Ovis aries: one gene and its partner. The protein of the gene in region 1 interacts with the protein of each later gene in a biochemical or structural test. Links are inferred from orthologs where the notes say so. Each region holds a gene or a part of one and is shown on either strand. Other genes may lie near its edges.

What was found.
Region 2: the proteins of SH2D1B (region 1) and SLAMF1 interact in a test that uses a peptide from one of them, tested with the Homo sapiens proteins (2 studies listed by BioGRID). The link is inferred for Ovis aries from reciprocal best matches to the Homo sapiens genes SH2D1B and SLAMF1.

Annotation. Positions count from the first base shown.
Region 1 is NC_056054.1:113,921,460-113,926,584, reverse strand, and holds part of SH2D1B (SH2 domain-containing protein 1B), read left to right. Parts: intron 1-1,726; coding exon 1,727-1,892; intron 1,893-4,016; coding exon 4,017-4,054; 3' UTR 4,055-5,125. UniProt on the Homo sapiens protein: Cytoplasmic adapter regulating receptors of the signaling lymphocytic activation molecule (SLAM) family such as CD84, SLAMF1, LY9 and CD244. In SLAM signaling seems to cooperate with SH2D1A/SAP.
Region 2 is NC_056054.1:111,728,134-111,734,051, reverse strand, and holds the end of SLAMF1 (signaling lymphocytic activation molecule), read left to right. Parts: intron 1-4,375; coding exon 4,376-4,611; 3' UTR 4,612-4,628; downstream 4,629-5,918.

The DNA.
Region 1 (5,125 bases):
AAAAAGGTTAAGCAGATTTTTTACTTCAAGGATTCTCAGAATCTTCGATATGCTAACATGCACTGTGACTCTCTGAGATTTGAATGTACAATGATCCCCAGATACACACACACACACATATAATTTTTTCTTTGAAACAAAAGACATTGTTGAGGCAATTGACAAATTTTTGAATAAGATCTGTAGATTAGTAAACAGTATCATATCACGATTAACTTCCTCATTTTAGCCTGGATATGTAATATTCTTGTTTTTTAGGAAATAGGAAGTATTTAGGTTAAAGAGATATCATGTCAGTAACTTTCATATTTTTTTTAAAAAAGGATAAATATATGTACATTTGTATATTTAGAAAGAGAAGATGAAAGGCAAAACAATGAAATGTTAACCTTTGGGGTGCGGGTGAAGGATATACATGGAAATTTAAAAAACATTTTTGAATCTTTTAAAGCAACTCATTTTAAAACATTTCTTTGTTGTGCATATTTTGGGAAATTCTGGATAATTCCTTAATACCCCATTTTGTCTCTTGTCTGGACGAAACAGAGAGGCATCCACATCTCTTCTAACAGACGCGGGGGCATTTCATGGGAAGCAGCTCTACATCAGGGCCGGTGCTAGATGCCGCCTTGGGCTGATGCAACAGCCTTTCGTGCAGCCGACTTCCAGCTCAGCCGGAGTCTCTGTCACGGAGGTTCACACACTGCAGTTCCCAGAGCTTTCCCATCACCACCCGTCTCTGCAGACCAATACCTTGGCCCTCTGAGAACCACAGTGATCATCAAGAAACACAACTACATAAGAGCTGAAGAAGCTTTTTTGTTTTACAATTATTTCTGTAAGATTGTAGTAGAGGGACTTCCCAGGAGGTCTACTGGTTAAGACTTTGCCTTCCAACACAAGCGGTGCAGGTGTGACCCCTGGTTGAGGAACTAAAATCCCATATGCTTCATGGCCAAGAAACCAAAACATAAAACAAGCAATATTGTAACAAATCCAATAAAAACTTTAAAAATGGCCCACATCAAAAAAAAAGTGAAAGCGTTATTATTTTTTTTTAAATGACTAGAAATTTGTGCTTTGCTTATAGCTGGTAAACAGAAAACAACTGTTCATAATTTTACCTGAATCATGCTGACATTTCCATTTTCAATTTAAATCCGGACATTTTGGTCTTATTTTCCTCTCACGGAGATTCTGAATTCAAGTATGTAGGCTTTTATGATTTTTTTTTTTTTTTTTTGGCTATGTGGCTTGCAAGATCTTAATTCCTTGATCAGGGATTGAACCCAGGACCACGCAGTGACAGCACTGATTCCTAACCACTGGACCACCATCAAGTACAGAAATTGCATTTCCCATTGAAGTCTGCCTGCATTAGTCGCTTACACTCTCACATAAGCTCTTAGAGGGGTTACCCTCCACAGGGTACGGACAAGAGCTGCCCCCACATTGCCATAGATGGGAATTCACTCAATACTGCAGACTGAGGTGGGGACCCTTGATTGTTAATCCTCTTTACTCACAGTAGCTCAAGCCAGAGCTCTGTTTTTAGAGGGAAGGTTTCTGTGTTTTGTGTGTGGTGTGAGCTCCCACACATGAAATGCCAGCCACTTGTTTTCAGTTCGCTGCTCAGAGGCAGCCCTGAAAACCACTGTTGTGAGAAGTGTCACCTTTCACACATAGTTGCGTGGTGATGAGTGCTCTCCTTCTTGTATTTTTGCAGACTGTGGAAGGTGTTAAACGAGAGATCTTTCCAAACCTGAAGGAACTGATCTCCAAGTTTGAAAAGCCAAATCAAGGACTGATGTTTCACCTCGTAAACCCAATAAAGAGAACCAGATCCTGCCTGAGATGGAGAAGATCGAAGATAGAGTTGGATGGTATTTATGGTAAAAACTTTCATAGGGGGCCCAGACAAGAGCCTTAGTCCCACTTCTACTACAGAATCCATACAGATAACTGCTCCTTTCTATGATGTTAGCTCTAGAAAGCCTCATCCTGCGAATAGCATTTTTCTATCTTGTTAGGAAGCAGTGCCTTCATGCTCCTGGTGGTGGCAAACGCACAGAGCTCTCTGTGCTCAGGCAACCCAGGGAAAATAGTGGTCCCCGGGCATTCCATGCTGCGGCTGCTGCTGCTAAGTCGCTTCAGTTGTGTCCGACTCTGTGCGACCCCATAGACAGCAGCCACAAGGCTCCTCTGTCCCCGGGATTCTCCAGGCAAGAATACTGGAGTGGGTTGCCATCTCCTTCTCCAATGCATGAAAGTGAAAAGTGAAAGTGAAGTCTCTCAGTCGTGTCCAACTCTTAGCGACTCCATGGACTGCACCCTACCAGGCTCCTCTGTCCATGGGATTTTCCAGGCAAGAGTACTGGAGTGGGGTGCCATTGCCTTCTCCCAGGCATTCCATGAGTCAACTTCAAACTCACCCTGTGACCTTGTGCCAATCACATATTTGGGAATAGATGGCCAAAAAGCAGAATTTTCAAATAAGAAAATTGCTTCAACTTCCTTCTCCAAGCCTCATCCTGTTACATTTTGCTCAATATTTGCTAAGCATTCATTTATGTGGTGTTAGTGGACAAATTGGGCTTTCCCGGTGGTCCTAGTGGTAAAGAACCCGCCTGTTATTGCAGGAGACATAAGAGATGTGGGTTTGACCCCTAGGTCTGTAAGATGCCCTGGAGGAGGGCATGACAACCCACTCCAGTATTCTTACCTGGAGAATCCCATGGACAGAGGAGCCTGGTGGGCTACAGCCCATAGGGTCGCACAGAGTCAGACATGACTGGAGTGCCTTAGTAGGGAGCAGGGGGCTAATTATTTCAGATACACCCCAAGAGTTATCAAGCCATGGTGGGAAATGAGAGTGCAGAGGATCAGTAAATCTGAGTGCACAGGATCCAGGTCATATCCCAAGCAGTGACTCTTGTGTACACCCCTTGAAATCTGTTAGCAGAAAAGAATCTAGTATCCATCAGTCACAACATAGTTCGAATTTAGCTCAGACTTCCTGAGACATTTACAGTTTAACCCTGTTTTCTCAAGGTGGAATGTATGGTTAGAGCCCCATTAAAGGGATTTCAGTCCTCAGTGGGCAGGTGACGTAATGGGAGCAGAGTGCTAGCTAGGGAGCAAGGAGGGGAACAGAGGGTTCCAGGAAGTCTGCAGTCACCCCATACCCATTGTACTCTGTCTACAGCCTCGCTGCCCTTTAGACTGCCAGAGAAAGCTTCTCACCTCCCCAAGACTGAACACAGTTTTTTAATGAGAAAACAGCCCTCCCCTCCCATTGTTTCTGTCTCCCTCCCCCAGGCAGAGGAGTGTGTACCCCATCACAGAGTTGCTTGCTATAGTTATAGCTGCAGATGTGGTCCCATGGCCATTTTCTACCATAACTTACAGAAAGAAATAAAAATACAAAGAATAAAAGGGGGGCAGAGGAGCAACCTAGGGATGTACTCGTGCTGCAGTCCTTAGGCAAACCCTGATGAGCTGCTCGGGGTGCTTGAGGGTGGCGGTAGTATTTGTCTCAGGGATAATAAAATAACCACAAATCCCAAGAGGAGAACCCTTTGGAGTTCATTCCAAGAGCTGAGCGGGAATCTCGCCACACCAGTTGTCCAAGCTCGGGCAGCCTTGGCAGAACGAGCTCCCAAATCCTCAGCCATTAAGGGGGAAGGAACTTCTTCTGAGCTGCTCATCGTCTCCCCCGCCCCCGTTCCCTTGGCCACCTCAGAACAAGCCTCACGTGTTCTCACCCTCAGGGCGGCACAGGTTCTCTGCTGGTGAGTGGAGGCATCTGGTGCTGGAAACTCTTGTCCTTGACTTATAAACAGGCCCCCTATGTTGCCAGGAGAGCTCCCTGTGGTGCCCCAGCTCTTGAAGGTGTCACTCTGCTGTGGCATCAAGACCACCCTGTGCCTGGGCAGAGGGCTTCTTTCCCACGAGAGGTGTTGGTCAGGGTGACTCCTGGGTGCAGAGCCTCACGGCTGGTCTCCTTTTCTCCCCAGAGAACAGTGGCAGCGACTATGTGGATGTCCTGCCTTGAAGGGATGGAGACTGGATGAAGCGCTTACAGAAGAGATGGGTGACAGCTCTCGCCAGCGATCCTGCTTCTCCTGCAGGTGTGGGTCTGGAAGACCAAACTCTAGGGGACAATTTAGACTCTCCTGTTCTGAGTGACTGAAGATGTTTTGTTCACCAGCTGCAGAGAAATCAGTCCCCTTGCCCTGCCTCCCATGCTTACCAAACGAGGAGCTTCAAAACCCCATTTCCCCTCCCACTGTTCTTTCTTGGAATAGGACCACCTGAACCTATTCTTGACTTGTTAAAGGTACTACCACTACAAGACAGTTGACATCTGGTCAACTGGGAGAGAAGAGAGTGCTGGTGTCTACTTTGGAGCCTGAGTTCCAGTCATGATGATGTGACTGCAGACAAACCACTTCCTCTTTCTAGGCCTGTTCCTTCATTGAAAAACAAGTGGCTGGGCAGAGGACAGCCGATGCCCCAGCCTCTTTGCTGAAGCTGGTTGAGTCAGGTGGCGTTGGGGAGCCCCTGAGTGATGGACGTGTATACTGGATCTCAGACTCCCAAAACAGCCAACACATTCTCTGCATCTGCCTGTGCTGGTCTTGGTGATGGTGGGAGCCCAGACCCACTCATGCACCCTTTTCCCTCCAGCCTGGGTGACCCACCTTCTTTCTAATCTCCTTCCCTGCTAAACTTTGCCCTGGAGACACTTCCTCTTTGATTCTGCCTAATTTCATTTATGCATTAACCACTTTAACAGCAGCAACGGGGCTCTGCGTTGTGACACATGTGGGGATTTTGAAGGCGTGTCACAGTGCAGAACCACGTCGCTGCTGTTAAAGTGGTTAGTGCTTTTTCTGACTAGGCTTTAAAGTGTGGTTGAGTCTCCCCATGAATCCTCCACAGCACATAGAAGTGCATGCCGCACAAACTGTGCCCCATTTAGAGACATTACTGACTAGGAGCCCATTCCCGAAGGGTTTGTTGCCTTGGTTCTAAGGCCCTTTGTATTTTTCTGCTAGTTCACATTTTAAGTTAAGGCCTGCTTAGTGTGGAATGTACCACATGCTATGCCCATTCTCTGATC
Region 2 (5,918 bases), about 2.2 Mb from region 1:
CTTATAAATCATAACAAATATGTGTGTTTTTCCTTCGTAGCTGAAAAAACGGTAGTCCTCACCTCAGCACAGCCTTCTCTGGCCATAGCAACCCTCTTAGGGCACCAAATGTTTTACCCTGACCCATCTCAGAAAAGAAGAATAATTCTCTTCATGTTCCTCAGTATGGTTTAACAAGAATTTAGTTAATGCATCTCAAAGTCTTGGCCATAAAGCTTCTGCTAGAGGCACTTAGTTCAGGACATTCTTAAAAAAACATATAAAGGGACTTCCCTGGTTGTCCAGTGGTTAAGACTGCACTTCCACAGCACAGGGCATGTAGCTCAGAGGATAAAGCATCTGCCTACAATGAGGGAGACCCACGTTTGATCCCTGGGTCAGGAAGATCCCCTGGAGAAAGAAATGGCAACCCACTGCAGTACTCTTGCCTGGAAAATCCCATGGATGGAGAAGCCTGGTAGGCTATAGTCCATGGGGTTGCAAATAGTCAGAGACAACTGAGCGACATCACTTTTTCTTTCCAGGGAATAAGATCATACATGGCACATGACATGGCCAAAAAATAAAATAAAAATTGAATATAAAATGTTTAAAAAGGAAAGAAAAAAGAAACATGTAAAGATGTTTGAGTGGTCCATCTAAACCACTTTGAGGACCGAGTATGCACTAGTGTGACCAGATTTACTGGATATGGAGCAGGCCTTCATGAGATGGGGAGGGACAAGAAGCAGCAGAAACATGGAACCATGGGAAAACCCTGTCAGGACCTCAACTCAGGCATTAAGGCAACTACTCAGCAGCCATTGCACTTTCTTGGACCTCTGTTTCATTATATGTAAACTGAAAAGGGTGAACTCCTGAAGCTCTTTCCCGAGTAAGTAGTCTATAAGTCCATTTTTATGTACATTAATAAGAAATGCTAATGAAGGATTACCGTTTGTATATTCATTTCCTAGGGGTGTTGTAAAAAGGTGCTGCAAAGTCAGTGACTTACATAACCGAAGTTTATTGTCTCACAGTTCTGGAGGCTAGAAGTTCAAAATCAAAGTGTCAATAGTGTTGTTTCTTCTGACGGCCATGAGGGAAGGAGCTGTTCCATGCTTCTCTCCTTGGCTTGGAGATAACTGTCTTCTCCTTTTGTCTCTTCACATTGTCTTCCCTCTCTGCGTATATCTGTCCTGATTTCCACTTATTAAAATGACACCAGTCATATTGGATTAGGACCCACCTATAATTACTTTGCTAGGGTTGCCATAACAAAAACACCACAGATGAGGTGGTTTAAATAACAGAAATTTACTTTCTCACAGGAGAAAGGAGGCTAGAAGTCCACGATCAAAGTGTTGGAAGGGTTGATTTTTTCCTGAGGGCTCCCTCCTGTACGGCAGATGGCTGTCTTCTTGCTGTGTCTTCATGTGGTCTCTGCATGCTCATCCCTAGCGACTTTGTATGTCCAGATTTCCTCTTACAAGGACACTAGTAAGATTAGATTCAGATCCACCCTAATGACCTCATGTTAACTTGATTACCTCTGTAAAGACCCAGTCTCCAAATAAGGTCACATTTTAAGGACTTCAACATATGAATTTTTGGGGAAACACAGTCAACCCATAACACAAATAGAGATCCCCTGCCCTGCCTCCAGGGATGGGGAACCACAGCATTCGAGAACCAAATCACACAGCTAGTCTGTGGCATGCCATTTTCAGTACACCAGATTGCCTAAATATGGAAAACAGAATTTTATTATTTCGTTGATTTGGGTTTGCAAAAGAATATCACTGATTTTTAAAATACCATGCTTGGTTCAACAAACAAAACATTACTGAGATTCTGCTATGTTCCAACGTTGTGCTAGGTGCTGAGAACACAAAGACAAAAAAAAAGACACACTCTTTGCTCTTAAGAAAGGGAATAGCTCTATAAGTAACTATTATTCCAGGTTAAGTAGTACAATAGGGGCAAAACAGAAATATGTGCAAGTTAACCCAGAGGAGGGAATGATTGACATTGTTTCAGGGAATCAGAAAGAGCATCATGGAGAATGTGACACAAACTAGGTGTTGAAGAATAGATAGAAATTACCCAAACAGATAAGAGAAAGACACTCAAGGCAGAGAGAAAAGCAGATATAACTGGGCCTTGTTCTGTATTGTCCTATGGTATTCTGATGGGAACTAATAGATAGTTTTAGACAGAGGATAATGTGATTAGTTTTGCATTTCAGAGAGAATTTTCAGTGGTGTGGACAGTAGACTGTGGTGGGGAAGAAGCAGAAGAAAAAGAAACTAGCTGTGGGGAGGGCCCATTATTGCAGTTACCCATCAAGAGATGATGAGTCCTGAGCCAGAGCACTGGTTGTTCCCTTAACAAAGATCTCATTCAAGGGAGGGAAATCCCAGTCTTGGGATGATGTGGTGGGGTATGAGGATTTGCTAGAGGTCTCTTTGTTATCTATAATAAGGACAGTGATCTTGAGACATTTTTCACTTTCCTTAATGAAAAATTCGAATGGTAATGATGTGATGAAAGCAAATGTAACATGATGTCAGCACTGGTTCTCATCAGGACTCAGACTAAACCACACAAGAACGTATTTGTTTTTCAAGATCTTTTTTTCCTAACAATTGTCCAGGCTCTCCATCATATATTCATCTTTATTCCACTTGTTATCTCAGTGTTTTACAGCAAGAAATACCTTCATATCTATTGTTATGAAGCCTCTTTACTACAAAGTACTTTCTTCGTGGCTCAGTGGTGAAAAAAAAAAAAAATCTACCTACCAATACAGGAGATGCGGGTTCAATCTCTGGGTCAAGAAATTTCCCTGGAGAAGAAAATGGCAACCAGTATTTTCCAGTATTCCTGCCTGGGAAATCCATGGACAGAAGAGCCTGGCAGGCTACAGTATACAGGGTCCCAAAGAGCTGGACATGATTTAGTGACTAACAACAACAACAAAAAAACAAATCCAAGGATGCTACCAAGCCTTCTCCTAGGTCATGTTAATGTGGGTCAGCACTGGACAGTGAGTGACTTGCTGCCATCTTTCATGACTGTGTTCTGAAATAGTTCTGTCTGTGCAGTAGTGAGTAATACTAAACCTTAAACAGTTGAACTCAGAGGGAATGCCCCTGGGAGCTCATTTTGAAAAGAGGACCCCTTTCAGTAGATTAGCAAAAGGTTGGCTCAGCAAGTCTAGGTTAGCTCAGTGGAAGGAAAATCTGACGCCTGCCAGTGAGCTCCGGGGGCTCCCCCTTTCTAACAAGGCCATCTCATCAAAAGGGAGCTCCCATTGCTACTGAGTCATCTAGCTGTTCTGTGTACAGGCAAGTCCCTCTCCCTGGTACTCCCAACCCAGGAAACATGGCAACAATCTTGGAAGGATGAAACCTGTCCCCTCTCATGGACCAGAGCCCTGTCACGTGGCCACACCTGCTACACAGGAAGCTGAGAAATGGAGTCCTTAGCTGGCCAGTCATGTGACTGGACAAGACTTGCTTTGTCGGGGAAGGATGAAAATGGCCCCAGGGGTTACACCCAGTCGTCCCTGCAACGCAATGCTGGGTGGGATAGCAAGTGTGAGGGATTTTTCTGGAAGCTGAGAACTCTGTGTAATAATTTTTACTTGGGTGGCGCCATATCTTAAATTAGTGTATGGTTTGGGACCACCCTTCCCCCACTCCCAATTCTGAGAGGAAGCTGCCACCAACAAAAAGGTGTCTCTTGAAGATGACTGACTTCTTCACGTTGATGTGCTCCAGGCAGACAGCCTTGCTGACAGACCACATGAAAGGCCGGAAAGAGATATGGCGCTCTCAGACCGTTATATTAGCATCTCGGTATCTCCTGGGGTGAGCTACATTTGTTTCTCAGATCCTTTTTATTTTCTTCTTTATCTTCCCTTAAACAATTAGAATTTGGGGACTTGAGAGAGACTTTTGTGTTTCTGTGGCAGCAGACTTTCAGAGATAAATAAAAAAGGCCCTTCAGCCTTTTCCTTAGAGGCGTGGCTACCTGCCGAGTTATCAGGTCTAAAGCACAGCCAATCAAATAGAAGACCAAAGGATGGAAACTCACGCAAAGAACTCTTCATAAATGGCACTGGAGTTCTCAACCAGCCTGCTCAGCTGTCTCTAAGAGGTTCCACGGAGGGGGAAAGTCCTAAGTCTCCTCTTTAAGAATGTTCAGGGACTTCCCTGGCAGTGGTTAAGACTTTTCCTTCCAGTACAGGGGGTGTGGGTTTGATTCCTGGTTGGAGAGCTAAGATCTCATGTGCCTTTGGCCAAAAAACCAAAATATAAAACAGAAACAACGTTGTAACAAATTCAATAAAGATTTTTTTTAATGATTTTTTTATTTTTATTTTTTAAAGAAGACTGTTCAGATAAGGATTCTTTTTGGACAAAGACCGGGACCTGTGGACCCCAGAACAATGTTGATCTGATTTCTGAGCATCGTCATCCTGAGGGGCCTCACTATATGAGCAAAAAGAGGGAGAACAAAAAGAGCCAGAGTCCCTGCCACAGGAAGTGGTGGTTTGAAAATGGGAACACAGATGGTGCTGAGAGCACAGATGCACACCTTGTTTCTGGTTCCATTCGGCTATAATAAAGCACTGCCAAGTAGGTCATTGATTGTTCCCTTCCACTCCTGCCTTGGGCCATTCAGAAGGTGACCCTGCATTCCTTCTGAGACCTTCTTATTTTGTGTATGTGCATGCACGCTCAGTCATGTCCGACTCTTTGCAACCCCACAAACTGTGGCCCTCCAGGCTCCTCTGTCCATGGAATTTCCCAGCCAAAGGGTATATGGCAGTCTTCTCCAAGCTTCATTCTATGGCTCCTAATTTAATTTAACTTAAATCACTTGTCCACCACGTGCATATTGAGTGCCCCCTGCGCTATACTGTGTCATGTGGAAAGGGGAATGCGTGTGAAGCATAAGGTACAGGATCTACCTTCAAGGAGTTTACCATCTAGATAGGATTCCTACACCTTACTGGGTTAGAACTCATGGTCATATTAAAGAAACCACTATTAGAATTCCTCTCTGGGAGGGAACAGAGCTTCTTTAGGATAAAGAGCTTCATAAATGCTTTATGAAGAGTATAAGCTGCTCTTTATGGAGAACAGAAGATAAGACCTCCCTTCCCCAAACAATCCAGCTGTAGGTTCAATACTTCTGTGTTATAATGGGGGAAGCTGTTGCTTATGCAGATATAGGAAGAGAAAGATAGGGTCTGAGCCTCTCACGTGTTAGAAACCTTCCCTTTTCATGATGGAATCTGCTCCTTGTGAACTTCCAAATCTACAGTAGAGGATTTGAACCCATGACATTCTCTTTGTTTGTTTGTTTTTGCTACACCACACAGCATGCTGCACCGCACAGCAGGCAGGATCTTAATTCCCAGACCAGCTACTGAGCTCATGCCCCGTGCAGTGGAAGCATAGAGTCTTAATCACTAGATCACCAGGGAAATCCCCCAACAAAATTCTTAGTATAGGTTTTTTGGTTTTGTTTTATTTGTGTGTGTGTGTGGAAATGGGTGAAGACACTGAACCTTGCACTCAGGACAGCTCAGACTACAGGGCTGCAGGAGAGAAAACTCAGGGGACTATAGGAAGTTATTGACAGAAATTAAAGAGATCGTGAGCAGCCTGACCCCCGCAAGCTGTAGAAGTAGCTTTTTGTCCATATTTATTTAAATTCCCAAAGGCAGTCCATAACATTTAGTTTCCGTATGCATATCATAATTGAATAAGAGCACCAAAAAGGTGAGCACCAAGTGTAGAAGCTACACCTGGGAAGCATGTGGTGAATAAACATCAATTCCACTTGCCTTGGGATTCCCAGGTGGTGCTAATGTTAAGGAACCCCTCTGCCAATGCAGGAGATGCAGGTTTGATCCCTGGATC